2 linked regions of the Daphnia pulex genome follow. Each later gene encodes a partner of the first gene's protein in a complex. Links are inferred from orthologs where the notes say so. Each region holds a gene or a part of one and is shown on either strand. Other genes may lie near its edges.

What was found. Proteins that work in one complex are often made in the same cells at the same time.
Region 2: protein lin-54 homolog (region 1) and protein lin-9 homolog share a complex: the UniProt entries of both Homo sapiens proteins name them as parts of the DREAM complex. The link is inferred for Daphnia pulex from reciprocal best matches to the Homo sapiens genes LIN54 and LIN9.

The regions. Positions count from the first base shown.
Region 1 is NC_060026.1:5,748,555-5,752,780, reverse strand, and holds the start of protein lin-54 homolog, read right to left. Parts: upstream 2,846-4,226; 5' UTR 2,764-2,845; coding exon 2,739-2,763; intron 2,411-2,738; coding exon 2,268-2,410; intron 2,172-2,267; coding exon 1,950-2,171; intron 1,888-1,949; coding exon 1,663-1,887; intron 1,598-1,662; coding exon 1,325-1,597; intron 1,268-1,324; coding exon 892-1,267; intron 779-891; coding exon 636-778; intron 578-635; coding exon 461-577; intron 379-460; coding exon 181-378; intron 68-180; coding exon 1-67. UniProt on the Homo sapiens protein: Component of the DREAM complex, a multiprotein complex that can both act as a transcription activator or repressor depending on the context. In G0 phase, the complex binds to more than 800 promoters and is required for repression of E2F target genes.
Region 2 is NC_060023.1:5,470,576-5,474,885, reverse strand, and holds the start of protein lin-9 homolog, read right to left. Parts: upstream 2,858-4,310; 5' UTR 2,807-2,857; coding exon 2,788-2,806; intron 2,470-2,787; coding exon 2,252-2,469; intron 2,181-2,251; coding exon 2,009-2,180; intron 1,953-2,008; coding exon 1,816-1,952; intron 1,758-1,815; coding exon 1,546-1,757; intron 1,391-1,545; coding exon 1,255-1,390; intron 1,170-1,254; coding exon 999-1,169; intron 664-998; coding exon 550-663; intron 486-549; coding exon 138-485; intron 79-137; coding exon 1-78. UniProt on the Homo sapiens protein: Acts as a tumor suppressor. Inhibits DNA synthesis. Its ability to inhibit oncogenic transformation is mediated through its association with RB1. Plays a role in the expression of genes required for the G1/S transition.

The sequences.
Region 1 (4,226 bases):
TAGCAGCACTGGTTGTAATGGTCGAGAAGTTGACTGTTGCTGGCGAACCACTCACCCCGATTGAACTCTAAAAATAAATTGAAAATAAACGTTTCATCAATAAAATTACGTGATATCTAAGAAATCAAATTCGTCGACTTTCCTAGACCTATTAAATCGAACACAAGATAGATGAATCACCTGAGAAGTATACTGAGCTGGAACCATCACAAGGCCGCTTGCCAGGGAACCCATCGATCCAGCAGGTAGTATAATACGTTGAGCTCCTGGAGGAACATTAACAGTGGAAATCGCACCCTTTACTTGCCCTACCGCCTTTGTTAAAGTAGTTGTTCCCTTAACTGTTTGTTGTGCCAGCGAACTGTTTGCTGAATGAATCTGTTAAAATTTTTTTAAAAACAATAAAAACAAAAAATTGTAATTCTGTATAATTTCAGGATTATCAGGTTGAATATTTTACCTTAATAGAATTTGCAGTAGGTGCCCCGATTATAACTTTTGAAGTTCCTGATGCAGTAACCAAATTTCCCGACCCGTTGTTTCCAGCAGATGGGTTAACAACGCGAACTAATTGTATCTAAAACCAATACATTTCATATTAATTTACACATTCCAATTTTGATGATCGAAACAACCTTGTTCCCGGCAAGTTGAAAATGCTGCTGTTGACCACTCTGTTCTCCGTGGGTTCCGATTGCGGGGAGTATTCCGGCAGCTAAAGCTTGAGCTGTTGTTAATCTTATGTACTGAGCCGGTTGTGTTCCACTTCCTTGACGAACTAAAAATATGTTTGAAAAATGGATTATTAAATAATTAATTACAAAAACCACAGTTTTAAAATTCGCAACATAAAAGATAAATTCGCATTTTAACACAAATCTGCGATTTTACCTTGGGCTGCAGTGATCGGGCCTGGTGCAGAAGGTCTCAGTACGAACTTCTGAGGACTAAGGGGGTTCATGTTGGTGACATTACCACCGTTGGGTCTAGTTTGGACCAGTGCTGCCATTGTTACTTGTCCAGCAGCGTTCTTTATCAGTAAGCTGGTTGGTTGGCTTTGTATTGAAGAACTGGATGAAATATTCGATGCAACTGTCTGCGGGGGAGCTGGGGCAATTTTCGTTGGTGTTTTGGTGGGGGCGCTTCTTACCAACGTCACGTTTCCTCCTGCAAATTTAGCTCCTTGTTTTCCTGCCAAGATATTGGTAGTAGGGGTTCCTTGACTTGCCGTGGCAACGGCGACTTTATTTACAATTAAAGGTTGCCCCTGATTTTAAAATATATATTAGTTCCCATTTCATACGTTTTTTAGGCGTTTGTCTACCTTTTTAGGCGATATAAGTCCAAGCTGTTGGGCTTGCTGAAGTGTGATGGTTTTGGTCGGGCTCATAAGGCGAACAGATTGTGAATGAATGTTTGAAGAGGGTGTACCGATGGTCGACATTTTACTTCCATCTGTACTAAGGGCATTAACAAACCGCAAATTTGTATTCGGAGTTAGTAGAGATGTTAATCCACTTGTTGATGCTGGAACTGTAAGAAGTAATGGCTGTCCAGTTTGATTTTGGCTTGTGGGTGCTAGCACGACTTTAGTAACCTATTCATTGAAAAACCAATAATTAATAAAAGAAATAATTAAGAAAAATAAAATATTAATTAAACCTGAGTCGAGGAAGAAACTGGAATTGTTTTCTTGATTTGACCCAGAGGGAAAACAGTTCTAGTCACTGGTTCGACTACCGGTAAGGAAACGGACATTGGCGTTATCGAGGGCGCATTTTTATCATCACACTGGCTTGTCATGATACTGATTCCCATGTCACTTTGATCCATAAAACTTTCTAAGGGTATTGAGTGTACCTCTTGACTTCTGCTCACTTCCATGTTCTAAAATAATGTAAACAACAGATAATTAGGAAAAAAAAAGTTTAATATTTAGAGTATATTACTTGCACATCCACCTCCATAGCTTCAATAGTCATAGTTTCCACTTCTTCAGAATGACCCAGATCATTCATATTCAAGTTGTTGGGGTCATTTCCTAAATGCACTGCTGACTCATTTGTCTGAACATGTTCCTCTACTATGCCAGAAACATTGGACATGTTGGATACTGCATCATTCGATTCCAATGCTCCTTCTAATCCAAGCCATAGACTGGGGTTGTTTGCCTTCAAAAGAATATGGTTGGAAATTTAAAAATATGTCAAAGAATGCTAAATAACAACTGTCTTTAGAAACCAACTTTGATAGCTTTAATAACTTACCAAATCAGCCACATCAGTGTTAACTAAATCAGGAGGTAAATCTGAGACTTCTGTTGTTATCACTTCTGTATGTTCATCATTTTCTTCTCCAACAGAAGTAAGGGAGAGAATGAAGTCATCTGTTTCGACTTGCATAGCGGAAACTGGGAAGGAAAACAAGATTAGTAAGGTAAATATCTATCAAGTAGGTACTTAATCATACTATCAAATAAGCTTCTAAGTGATCTTAGCATTGGGAAGGTTAATATCTGTTTAATGTAATCCAAAATTTATTCCAGTTTAAAAAGATTTTTCAACGAATATCGAAAAACCCGCCTGTAATAGGCGCCATTTTGAAAATAGTTTCCTAAGGGCATCAACCTAGCTTGAATTTTATGCAATCAGATCTATTTTTGTGTGAAATTAGTATTCTTAACTTGACGGAAATAACACAGTCATGATCTAAACAACGGTAAGATAAAATATAAATACCTTCATCTCGAGAACTCGACATCATTTAAGAGGAAATGTACGATCAGCCCGCCATGAACTTATTCAAAGCGACGCCTGCGATTGCTCTTTACACTTAGTTCGTTATGTCGCGGCTAGGTGTCGTGAAAATTTCTGATCTTACTCCACACGCCCCACACGATGATATTTCTAATATGGCATGATGCTTGGCATCATAATATCATATATTTTTAAAGTGTTGCAACTTAAAATGATTTTAAAATGTTGTTACGAAAATGCTTTTAATAACAAGCAAAAAACAAGTATGAACTGCAGGGATAATATTTCAGAAAAACATCGAGCGATTAGCGAACGATAGCGCTTACATTTTGGGTAACCGTGTTGTCTGTCCCGGTCCGTCCGTGTAATCCTTTGGTTTATTTCTTTACAATCATCGCATTTTCAATCTTCTAATAAAACAACGAAATTTTTTTTCTACAGTAATGTGTATCTGATTCCCATATTACGTCAGCATGAACTGCAATTCTGTGGACAATTATCAAACAATCGAAAGTTATTTTACATAAATAAACTTAGCCCTTTTTCGAATAATGCCTCAGTGGCAGTTTGAGGATTAGCTTAGTCCGTGTTCGAAGAAGCCCATAAAATCTTGTTTGGATTAAGTGAGAAAAGCGTTGATGACTGATGAGTGCCCCATTTCCTGTACAATAAGGAATGTCAGAATAAAGAAACAGAGTATTATTCAGTTTACATACTATGCGAATTCGAAAAAATGAAATAATAAATCTTTAGATTTTATGGCATTGCAATGCGTGTGTAATTGACTTGTATATAGTATATGATACTATGAGATTTCTAAGGGGGAAACATTTTTTTTTGTTTCTTCTCTCGCGCGTGCATTTGTTTGTTGCCCCTTTTTTGTTTTTCTTTTCACCCATCCGTCTTCCGAACTTATTTTTTTGCCTTGAGCCCCGGCCACGGCCAATCAAGTAAGACAAAAGAAGTACGAATACGAGTATTTTTTTAAAGCAAAACAATACCAGAAGGCATGTTGGCGAAAACAGACAGAAAATAGAAGAAAATGTTCTTGGATTTTCAAGGATTATTATTATTGTCAACTAAAAAAAAAACTGTATTAATTAGAACATTTACAGAGTGCCCGATTTGATTTTTCACTAAATTCTACATAAAGTGGGAAGTATGCATTGCGACATTTGCGAGTTGCGACTGGCTGCGAATCCTGCGATGCCGCTATAGTCGCGATTCATAGCTAATGCAAATCTGGCGTTCTGGCCCTGTTGAGTTGTGGATTCATTGTTAGCGTTATTTGTTCTTCTGGAGGCGTGCGTACCTTATTATGAGTTGCGGAATCACACCAGTCTTTGTTTTCCGGAAATCTTTTGTTTGAGTGCTGTTTTGCAGTGTAATTAGAGGTGATATTAGGTAATATTTATTTTTTTATTTTTTCAACAGTTTTCTTTGTACTCATATTTTCTGGTAGTAAATTTG
Region 2 (4,310 bases), on another chromosome or scaffold:
GCGTTCAACTTCTGTATTCATATCTCTCAGTCTTCTAACCTTATCTTTTTTCATATTTAAAATCTTCGAGAGTCGTACCTATAGAACAAATATATGTTACAAATTTCCAATAATACGCAGATTTTCAAAGGACTTACGATTGGTGTCAGAACGTGGATGGGCAAGGAGCCAAACGTCGTTTCTTGTGGTGTCAATCTTGAATTAGACGATCCCAAGACAGGATCGCTGACTAAACTTGAAGAATCAGAATGAGAAGTGTGTCCAATTCGTGTGCCACTGACATGTGAAGTTAAAGATAAAGTAGGCATTGCAACTTCAAGGGAAGACTGTTTAATGGGCTGTTGATGTTGACTCGAGATTGTTAGTGTTTGCTGCTGTGAAGCCATCAGTGGTATTATTGCGGGGGTCGGTGGTAAAACAGCTGGGCGAGGGCGAAACCGTTGAGCCAAACTCGATATCGAAATCATGTCTACTGTTTCATTCGACTAACAAGGAAATTTGTTTTTAGTTGAAGATGTCTTTCGTTGTCAAGACGAACATTACACGTACCAAAACTTCGTAATCCGGAACAGAGTGTGTTCCCAATCCTTGTCTATCAAATGTGATGCGGTATGTATTATTGGACGTATCTACGGCATCGATTTGGCCAACGAACAATCCATCCTTTAATGGGAAGAAAAAAATAAATAATTACTACGTATTTATTTTTCCTTCTTTTTAAATCATAAATAATTATAGTCACTAGGTCATAGTTTTAACGTCACACTCCACATATTCTTTTATTGAGCTATGTATACCCACTTCAAACTCTTGCGCTGTTATCTTAAAACACTTAGAATAACTACGGCAATCATCTCATATATACTAAGGGAATCGAAAATACTTCGGCATTTCATTAGACCAACGGCATCTTGGTATGATCACACAAGATTGCCGTCGACTGACGAAAAATCGATAACAATTTAAGTAAATAGCTGAAGTATTGTGCTTAAGTGTACCTGTGGTTGCCGAAGTCTGGCCGTCACTTTGGTGCCGATAACCAAAGGCATAGGGATAAGATCCGGCAAATCCCTACAAAGAGATGCCATATCGCTTACTTTGCGCTGTTGAACTAAACGAATCTTCTGTCTTTTTTTGGCCAATTCTCCTCTTTCTTCATTAAAAAATGCCTAAAATGAATCAAGAGGGGGAAAAATTGGATAAGAAAATGTTAGAAACTGGACAAGCCATTTGCATGAATAAAAATTTAGGCACCTGAGAACAACGTCTTGGTCTTCCCATAAGACGACGGATGGTACACCACTGGGATCTAGTAAGCTGTCGCAATTTCAAGCTGGGGAATGACTCTCGTAAACATAGCATAAAGTCATTGTCGCCTTCAAACAATGCTCTAAAATAAATAAATAAATAATAATAATTAAAAAAAAAAAACGGTTACAGCAAAATGGAGTGCTTCACAAATTATAAGGAAATCGACGAAACACACAACTACAACCATTTCTTTTTCCCCATGCAAGGTATAAAATAAATGGCACAAAAACGTACTGGTCTAGATTACTGTAGAACCATTCATAGCAGACCCATTTGTGCGCTTTGGGTAACTTAAGTAAATTGCGTAAGCGGACACCAAGTTTTTTCAAGTCTTCGGCTTCTTGCTCAGCCGTTGTTGCTGCAACCGAAGGTAAAGCGGCCGCGGCCACAATACTCCGAGCACGACGTCCAACAACTAAAGGTTCACTCTTCTGCTTTTCCGGCAACTAATACAAATGATATAGTATACAATTATTGGCAATATTTAATATATAAAAATTTTACCTTAAAAGCTGGCTTAACCTTCATTTTCTTTAGCTTTGCCTTAACTCGATTAGTAGTTTTGAGCGGCGTCGAAGCATTTGATCCACTGCGACGTTCCGGAGTACCAGTTGCACTGCCAGGTGCAGATCTTGTGTGGCCTGTAACACAATTTACTGTTAATCATGATTACATTTTTTAAAATAATTTATTTAACCTCTCTTTATTATTTTTGAAGTGGTAACTTGAGGTGCTAACTGGTTTGAATGAGATGATCCACTAACACCACTGTTGGATTTTGTGGATTTCCTTGGAGATTTATTAGTAGATTGGTTGACAATAGTATCATCATCAAAGAACAATGGATTCTTTTTTCGAATTCTTGCTGGCTAAAATAAAAATTAGTTTCCACAATTTATTACATCATATAATCAAATAAAGTCCAAATAGTCTCACTTACAATGCCTCTTCTGTTCAATGTGATTGGATTTGAAGTGGTACTCCCAGTTATTTTTGAACTAGAGGATGAATTTACATCACTGATCCGTTTTAATCCAAACATTTCTGGGCCTAAAGTCATTGCTTGATTCGCCTGTTCTGAGTCATCTCCAAAATCAAGCTCTCTTTTCACTTTGAATCCTCCATTTTTGAATGAAAGTAAAGCTTCTGCAGATTCAGCTATACAGAATTTCAAATATAAATATTAAAGTTAAGTAAAACTCTTAACACAATGTACTTCAATTGATTTGGAAAATCTATTAATGCTCAATTTTCATAACAATTGGTTGAATGAGAAATTACAAACTTAAGCAAATATGAGGTAACAATATAAACAAGTAAGGAGCCGTTCTAGAGCTTAACCCAAATCGTATCAGACAGAAATTTATAATAAATTATTAAAACTACAAAAGATTTTCAAACTGAGTTTAAAGAAAAAACATAATTAACCGTCAAAGCTTAATTGTTTGTTTACGTTTTGCAGTTAAGATAACTTACTTTCAAGTAAATCCGCCATTTTCAAGCAGTTTTTTCAACTTTCAGAATCGCTCGAATCGTCAAGCTTGGGACGTTGCCGCATTGACGAATTGTAAACCAAAAAAAAAAATTAATAAAATATTACATTTTTCTTGCTGATTTAGTGATTTTTTTACTTCTAAATTATAATAATCTAAATCCTTTTTCTAATATTTTATTACTATTTTAAATTGTAGCTTGCATTTGTTATTGGATACCTCATAGCTATTAACACTCTCGAATCACAGCAAATTTTTATCCCTGAGGGTAGTACTTGTACTACCAGAAGGCATTAAAGTAAATGCGGGTGTCTGGGTGTGTAGGAGGGGGAGGGATGTGGGGGGAGTGTACGCTGTTCTGGGCCAGGCTTCCAGAACCTTTAATTCAGAATCAGAATAAATTTATAGAAATCTAAACTACTGCATCGATTTTCTTCAAACTGTTTGTGTAAACTTACAGTAATTTATCTCAGCGGATAGGTAAGTTTCGATTCATTTGGTAATACTAAATTTAATTTAATTTTATGCGGATTTAGTCATTAGCTTTTTGTGACTTAGGACAACCACAACATCAATTCGATTGTCTGTTTGTTTTGTTTTTGTTGTCTGATTTATCAGTTAGTCAGTTACCGAACGTCGTCATCATGTTGACATGGTTAGCTTGCAATTTGTAATTATTAAAGTAACGCATAATTTCAACATTCCTGTTTCAATTCTTAGGCAAAAGACTATACTATGGATTACCTTATTCATCATTGTCATTGTAATTGTTTCGCATAGCTAAATGCTTCATGAAGGGTAAATCAACGCAATATCATTTATTATTTTGAGTTTTCTTACGTATTTTGTTTGCCTAACTAATTTTGTTGTGACGCCCAGGAAAATGACCATAAAATGGGTTTGCTTGATTTTCATGGTAGTGTATTAAACCATTTCTGTGAGTCACTCATTGATTTTGTTGTGACGCCCAGGAAAATGACCATAAAATGGGTTTCTTGATTTTCATAGTGCACTAAACCATTTCTGTGAGTCACTCACTGATATAAATACCATATGATGAGTAGTCATCATGTATGGTAAGCACTGAAATAATTTACCATAATTGTAATGCCTCACGATAAATTTTATTTTGACTGTTAGGCTAATGATTAGAAGTTAGACATGAATATGTATCGTCCTCACCTAAATTTGGATGTGCACGTGTCTGTTTCAGAAAGAAAGTTAAGGACAGGAGAAGATGAGCATTGGTAATACTAAATTTTATTTTATTTTATGCGGATTTAGTCATTAGCTTTTTGTGACTTAGGACAACCACAAAATCCATTAGGTTGTCTGTTGACAGTCTGTTGATGTCTTGTTCAGTAAAAATAAATTTCGTCAACAGTTTTGTTATTGTTACAGGATATTGTTTCTCTTTTAGAGAAGTTCAGTGGAACAAAGGTATTTTGGTGTGTGCTATTCCATTTAAGAAATGTACGTAAATTCATCAATTATGCTAGGCAATAT